2 linked regions of the Drosophila melanogaster genome follow. The protein of the gene in region 2 interacts with the protein of the main gene of each other region in a pairwise test. Each region holds a gene or a part of one and is shown on either strand. Other genes may lie near its edges.

The links.
Region 1: the proteins of CG4884 (region 2) and Acp65Aa interact in a two-hybrid assay, tested with the Drosophila melanogaster proteins (one large-scale study listed by BioGRID).

The regions. Positions count from the first base shown.
Region 1 is NT_037436.4:6,151,422-6,154,631, forward strand, and holds Acp65Aa (adult cuticle protein 65Aa), read right to left. Parts: upstream 1,325-3,210; 5' UTR 1,259-1,324; coding exon 1,247-1,258; intron 1,166-1,246; coding exon 860-1,165; 3' UTR 629-859; downstream 1-628. Other genes in the region: Lcp65Aa, read left to right, coding at 1-220.
Region 2 is NT_033777.3:27,956,532-27,961,075, forward strand, and holds CG4884 (uncharacterized protein), read right to left. Parts: upstream 2,715-4,544; 5' UTR 2,645-2,714; coding exon of another isoform or gene 2,547-2,644; intron 2,489-2,546; coding exon of another isoform or gene 1,657-2,488; 5' UTR 1,569-1,656; coding exon 1,276-1,568; intron 1,214-1,275; coding exon 1,141-1,213; intron 1,089-1,140; coding exon 885-1,088; 3' UTR 825-884; downstream 1-824. Other genes in the region: Nep7 (neprilysin 7), read left to right, coding at 1-707; CG42487 (uncharacterized protein), read right to left, coding at 1,657-2,488, 2,547-2,644; CG31253 (uncharacterized protein), read right to left, coding at 2,864-4,003.

The sequences.
Region 1 (3,210 bases), on a different chromosome or scaffold from region 2:
CGATGTCAATGCCGATAGCTATAGCTACAAATTTGAGACAAGCGATGGCACCAAGCAGGAGCAGCACGGCTCCCTGAAGAGCCTTGGTCCCGAGGAGGATGCCTTGCAGGTGGCCGGATCCTTCAGCTTCGTAGGAGACGACGGACAGACGCATGCCATCAGCTACGTGGCCGATGAGAACGGATTCCAACCCCAGGGCGAGGATATTCCCCACCTATAAATCGGTGTATGATGGTAATTAAAAAGGTCTTCTAGTTGAAAACTAGAAATCAATTGGAAAAACAAGTCATTAAATCGAAATAGGCTCAGAAACCATAATACTGAATAACCTTTTATCGTAGCTCAGTTTAAATAAAGAATAAAACCAATTGTTATGTTCCTTAAAAATATTTTTAAGATTAGTACCTTCGTAAATTTTTTAGATGGAACATCTTGTATATTGATCATTTTGAATCAAAAGAAATAAAAGTGTGAATTTTCATAGCTAAATACGATAAAATAGAAAATAACTCTGGTACTTCGTTATAATTATAAAGGAAAGTTATCTAGTGCAGTTTCATATTTTGAATGACCCTTCCCAGAACTGGTGACTTACTTTATGGGTTCCACAAAGAAAACATATTTTTTTCGAGAATCGAAAGTTCGGCTTTAATGCGAGTAACAAGGAAAATAGAAAACAATGCACGACACTGACTTGACTGACTGATCGACTTACTAACTGACTGACCGATTGGCTGCCACGGGACAAGGGACAGCTCCTCCGGACAGGACCTTAGCACCTCACTGTATGGCTGGTTGGTTGGAATTGTGGGTTCATTCGGGAAGGTGGTATTTACAGGATCTCCTCGAAAGCGGAGGTCTACTTGGGCAGATGGGCACCCTCCGGCTGAAAACCGTTCTCGTCGGCCACAAAGTTAATGGTGTAGGTTTGGCCATCGGGAGCCACCCAGGTGACGGATCCCCGAATGGATATGGATTCGTTGTCGGTGCCCGCGTTGTTGACCACGCCCTCCTCTGTTCGACTGGTGCCATCGCTCAGTTTGTAGCTGAACTTGTAGCCGCCGAGGCCGGTGTTCTCCGATTCGTACTCAAGAACTTCCACATCATTTTGCGGCCGGGCACTGGCCAGGGCCAGGAGAAGGGCTATCGAGCCAACGACTAGCATCTGCAAGGCGGTAAGAGATTAGGTATCCTTTTGCGTATCCTGGTTGGGCATGGTGCGCCTCGTTTATCCAAGTTCACCTACCAATTTCATCATGTTGAGCGGTTCTCGAAATTGCAGATTCTCCTATGCGGCTGGACAAACTGGCAGTTGTCTAATGGTGGCGTTGCATCGGCGTCCACTGCATTTTATACTGCACTCGCGGCTGCATTTGCAAACGTCATAAATTTGCACAATTGTGGAAGAAGCCAAGCAGCTCGCTAGTTCAGCAGCTCTGGCGGTCGCCGGCTAAATGTTTTCCACTATTTCCATTTTGTTTTTGTTTTTTTTGTGCTGTTTTTCAATTGCCAGCGTTGCACCAAAGTCGCCAAAGTCGCTGCGACAAGTAACATTTAAAGCGGCTTTGTGCAGCGGTGTACTCATCCGAAAGGTATTATTGCTCTTCACCCACACTCGAAAAAGCATTCTAAGTTTCAGGGCGATTCTGTGAGAATAGTTATCCACAATCAATATGTCTTCATATTTTTAACAAGAAACCAAACATAAAAATAAGCATGTTAAAACTAATGTAGTTAGAACATAAAAAATATTTATTTAAACCTATAACACTTAATCATTCGAATATCTTTCGTTTTACACCCACACTAAAACCACCTTTCGAAGTTTTAGTGCAACTCATTAAGTACTTAAATCTTAATTGAAATAAACAAAACAATTACTTGAATATAATACCACATTTAAGATGTACTGACATTTTCTGTCAGTGCCGACTGGTAGCTTTAGAAAACTCGAAAAAGTTCATGAATCAAGCAGATGCATTGGGGAAAAGGTTGCGGTTTGATTGGGCAGCTACGGGGAAATACCGGGCCAAGAACTATGGGAAACAATAACCAGAACAGCTCGTCAGATGGGCCCAGATCGAACCGAAATCGACGACATATTGGTGGCCCAAAAGAGACTAAGTTCAAGTGCTGTCGCCGCCAATTGGCAGGGCAGCAAGTTCAAGCCGCGGACACGAAGAACACGAGCTGAGCCATGTGTGATGGCCAAAGTGCACGATGGATGAGGCTGTGGATGGAGATGGAACCGCAGGTTGACTTTTGGCATATGCAACGGCCTTTACAGCGCTCGATTGATGTGCCTGCCCGGTAACAAGAGCCAAAAGCAGTTGGAAATATATATAAAAAATACATCGAATAACCTACAACTACGGCTCGCATGCAATTTAAATCTCTGACTCTTGCTTTTTGTTGTACTTTTAGCATTTTTTTTTTAATTTAGTTTTTAAGTCGCCGTCGCCGGTGCTTGCCAATTTATGCCACCTTCGTTGACCGCTAGCAGGCCGATGAAGAAGCCCCAGCAGCGGATCTTTCAAGCCGGTCAGTCGGGTTTTAACTTTGGTTATCGGTCGGCCTCTGGTCAACCACGGTTCTGCCCCAGCCTCCTCCTCCACTTGAATTGAATTGTGCCAATTGTGACTTAATGTCTGACCCATCGACAGGGTGTTGTGCACTGATACTGGCATTTCCTCAAATGTCGTTGAAAATCACATCATTTTGGTTGATTTTTTGGCAGCTGCAATTTGGCATTTTGCCATTCTTAACTTGCTCGTTAAAAATCATGGAATTGGTGACATCCGAGGAATGTTATCAATCAAATAATATTGTCCATATAACATGTAAAGAACGCATCAAATAAGCAAAGCGTCTTTGCAATCAAAAGCAAAAGCAGACTCAACAAATTTCTGTTGTCATTGTTTATTCAGCAAAATTGCATTACATTAATACAGTGTGAAAATTACTTATTGTTAGTCAAATGTGTAACTATAATTTTCTGATTAGACCGCAAATGGAAAAGTTGTTAATATGTTAATTGAACGAGAAAGACAAGTATATTAAAGAAGAGAAAAAACGATGGGTTTTTGCATGATTGAAATCTTTACAAATAAAATGTCACATGAAACATCAAACTTAAGCGCTTAAGTTTAATACTAAGCAAGTTCATATACAATGTGGTTTCCATGAAATTTCAGCCTGATTTATTTACCC
Region 2 (4,544 bases):
AGCTGCCCAAGGACACAAAGCCACTGACACTGCTCGTGGGAATGCAGGTGAACGCCTTCTACTACAATCTGGATAACTCGGTGTACGTGATGGCGGGAGTACTGCATCCGCCTGCGTACCACCGTTCATGGCCCGATTCCTTGAAGTTCGGCACCATTGGCTATCTGATAGGTCACGAGTTGACCCACGGCTTCGATACGGAGGGCTCCAGTTTCGACAGCGCCGGCGAAGTACGCGACTGGTGGTCCAGGAAGTCGGAGGCGGTATTCCAGGAACGGGCGCAGTGCTATGTGGATTACTTCAACCAATACTTGATACCGGAAATCAACCAGACAATTCGCGGCAATGAGACAAGGGACGAGAACATAGCGGACGCCGGTGGCTTGAGGGCCGCACTCACCGGCTATCGAAACCACATGAAGCAGCTGCAACGAAGTGGAGCGGATGGGGAGACGTTGGCTCACAAAAACGAGCAGATGCCCGGCCTCGACCTGTCGCCGGAGCAGCTCTTCTTCGTGGGATTCGCGCAGCTGTGGTGCGCCGACTACGAGCCGGAGCACTACTGGGAGGAGCTCACTGGCGCACATACCGTCGATAAGTATCGGGTGCTGGGTGCCGTTTCCAACAACGACGATTTTGCTGAGGTCTACAAGTGCCCACTGGGCAGTCCAATGCATCCGAAGGCTGAGAGTTGTCGGATGTGGTGACCATAAGTCGTATATAAAGGAAAAGATGTAAAATACTCTAGATGTTCAACTACAAAATAAATGAAAACAGGAAAAATAATGCAAATCGACGATATAGTCTTACACATTTCTGCAATTGAGTTAACTCACTCGACTTTACCCATTTACTCTTAATAGTCTCTTTATTTCTAATTGGTTTTAATGAGCAACGTGCTCTGAGGATTTGAAGGCGTTGGGTCCCCGGTAATTCTCGACCAGCAGGGATTTGTAGCGCCTCAGGTGGACGCTGAGTCCTTCCTCGCGCTCGCTGACGGAGAGGATTGAGACGCGGGCCACGACCAGATGGGAAGGATTCGATTGACTAAAGCCTCGGATTACGTCGATTTCATCGCCGACTTCCAGCTGTAAATGGTAAATCATAAGATTGAATTCGATCTATATATGGACTCCATACCTGGGCACTCTTTTTGGGCAGCTTCTTTCCATTGACGCGTATCTTGCTCTCGTAGAAATTCAGTTCCACTTTGCTGTGGGAGGTAAGACATCATGGTTATTGGGGGCATTTAGAAAACCTTCGGCTGTTTCTTACTTTCTCGCCATGCCCAGGCCAGCTTTCAGTAGGAGATCGGCGCGCAGTGAGTTCACCTTGGTCTTGACCACCTTGGAGTCCCTTTCGTCCTTGAAATCCTCATCATCCTCGTCGTCGCTGTCCAAGTCATCCGATGCTCGTGAGGATTTCTTGTCGTACTTCCACGCTGAAGCACTGGTGTGTACAGGAGCCTGCAGCTCTAAGGTGGTTGAGAGTTTAGGCAGACTTTTAGATGGAAATGGCGTCCTTAGGGATCTTCCTAGTCGGGCTATTTGACGAAAAGTCCGGAGCATTTTGTGTGGGCGCCTTAACAATTACGATAACAAACTGAATAACATAACCTAAAAACTACAGCTGTTGCGGTGGCGTTGCCAACCATCTCTAGGACTTGTTTGCCTTTTTGTTTCGTTTCTTTTTGGGTTTCTTGTCGGGATTAGGACGCACTTGGTAGACAGTAAGGGGGCGATAGTTGTGCAGATCTGCGGGCAGGAAATCATCATCATCATGTGGCTCCACCTCCATGGGCTCTGGGCTGGGGGACTTCTCTTTTTTAACAGGGTTATTTTTGACTTCTACTACCGGCTTTTTACTTTTGGCTTTCATTGCCAAATTACTGAGGGCATTGCCCAGTTTTTGGGTCTCCACCTGGACATCCACGCGGTCCAACTTTACTGAGGGTTCGTCCGAGAAGCAGGATATGAAATCATCACCCCAATCCTTCTTTTCAGCCACTGGGAGCTGCGGTTTTTTTTCCTCTTCGGCTGGTTTGATTATTTCGGGTTTCTTCTTGGGTTTTTTGTGCGTTTTCGGGGCTATCTTCTTAGCAGGTGTAGGTGTTCTCTTTCGGGCAGTAATCCACTGTTCCAAGTCCTCGCTTATTGCTTTCAAATCTAATGGCAAGGCCAAGGAAAGCGCTCTAACGCCAAAGATTTCCTGGGTAAGCTCCTCCAGTTTGGGCTGCGCGTAAATGGGAGCCGTGGGCATCTTGACAGATGCACTGGTGGCCATTAGACGGACGAGGTGAGTTGGTCGCAGGCTCAAGGAAACCAATAGGCAGGAGAAACGCCGCGAGTTTATGGCGCGTAGGGAGCTCTCCAGGCCGAGATGTATTCCGTATCGAGTGGCAAACGATTTGGTCTGCCCGTCGCTGCTTTTAATTGCATTCTGAAGGATCTGACGGAACTGCTGCACTTCCTCCTCCGATAAAAGAGGGCTAAAGTCAAAAGAAACAACCTGTTGATTGGGTTTTTATTGGTTTCTGCCCGCCTCACCTGTGCTGTTTGTAAGGATTGGCTAGAATATTGCGCAGTTTGGGCAGCAATTTCTTTTTGCCCTTAGCTTCTTTCTGTTTTATGCTGGACAAACTCATGTTTACGATATAAACTAATAAAAAATAAAAAATTTCTGCTGAAAAATCAAACAACAATGTGTTTGGCTTTTGGCCAGTGTGACCGCGTTTCTTAGTTTAAAATAAGCCATAGCTTAAATCGCGTTGCCAATTGCTTTACGTTTTTATTTAAATTAAAACTCTTAATTTTTGCTTCTAAAAATTTTTAATCAAACTCTTAATTTTTATTTGCAATCATTTTCAGTACCAGTAAAGTTCCGGCTCCGTGTCCGAAGAGTACTTCAATTTTCTCGGTCTCTGGCGAACGTAATCTTCGACGAAATTCAATTGCCTTGGTGTTGTGGTTTCTACTTGAGTTTCTACTATTTCCGTTGTTGTTAAATTAAATCCAAATGGTGTTGATAATGTAGAACTTTCCTCTTCGGTGCTGTCAATCACTGCATCCAGATACGACGTGGTAGTTTCCACGCCCGGAGTCGTGGCAATGATTTCCAGCAAGGATGTAGTAGATTCCTGGGTTTCTGTGGTTGAAAACAATTCTTCTGTTGAAGTTTCTGCTGTTTCAGTTGTAGTTTGATCTGTGGATAATGCAAACGTGGATTCGTTCGGTTCTGTGGTAGAATCAGCAGATTCAGTCGTTGATTCCGGCAATTCTGTAGTGCTTGGATTGATTTCTATTTCTGTGGTAGTTTTTATTAGTTCTTTCTCTGAAAATTCAGAACTTAAAGTAGTCGTTGATTCCGGAAATTCCGTAGTACTTGGCATAAACTCTGTTGTTGTTGATTCCTGCAATCCTGTAGAGCTCTGAATGGTTTCTGTAGTAGTTTCTTGCCATCCTGTAGATAAATCTGGATAAATTAACGTTGATTCAGCATATTCAGTACTGTCTGAATTGCTTTCTGTCGTTGAATCTGCAGCTTCTGGACTCGAAGTTGTTGTGGAATATAGGGCTACTGATTCAGTGGCATCTATAGCATCTGTGCTGGTGACTTCCGGCCAAGCTGTTGTCGTGGAATATAAAGTATCCGTGGTTGAAGTTACATAACTAGATTCGGTGGTTGAATAATCCACCGCCGTAGTTGTAGATTCCTCAGTGGCACTTTTCTCCGTTGTAGTAGATACTTCCCCAGTGAAGTAGCCAGTAGTCTCCTGCGGATTGGTGGCCACCGTAGTTGTGTCCCAAAAATCTCCATCGAACGGATTGGTAAAATTTACGATGCGCGGCTTGTAGGGTGTGTAGATTTTGGCTTTGTAAGGCTTGTGGTTCTTGATGTATTCCTTGGCTATGCTAATCCACTCCTCGCGACCGAGAATATCGTTTAAATTTCGGCTTGAGGCCACAAAATGCGCCATTAAAAGAAGCAAACAGAATTTTCTCATTATGATGCTGATACCTTCGGTTGACACTTTCGACTAATTACCTTTGGCGACTGCAGTGCAATATAAACGCAAGGGTCTACCTACGTTTCAACGCGTATTTTAGCTACCTGCTTTCTTGGCAAAAACGTTAATTAGCCCTAATGAACTGGAAAATTCAAATGTTGCCGCCAGGGCTGCAAGCGCTTACTTTATTTGTGCTGGCAATGCCGTAGGTAATGCCGGCCGCTTAACAGCTGAGTGTTTTTCGGGGAAGAAGAAGAACAGCGTGTTTGCAGTCCGCGTTTTTGTGTAAAAATTGTGAATAATTATATTATTTGCAGTTTTCTTACGTTTTAAAGAAGAATTTAGCAATCAGAAGGTCCTGTAACAATTGGTAAGTCGGTAAAAACAACAAAAAACAAGAGTAGCATAAGTTTCGAGTCACCGTGAAAGTTTTAAATTTTCTAAGACGCCACCGGCAAATTTTGAATGAAAGTATTGATATATATATTTATTTTAGGAAAAACCATGGATTCCGATTTGTACGATGAGTTTGGCAACT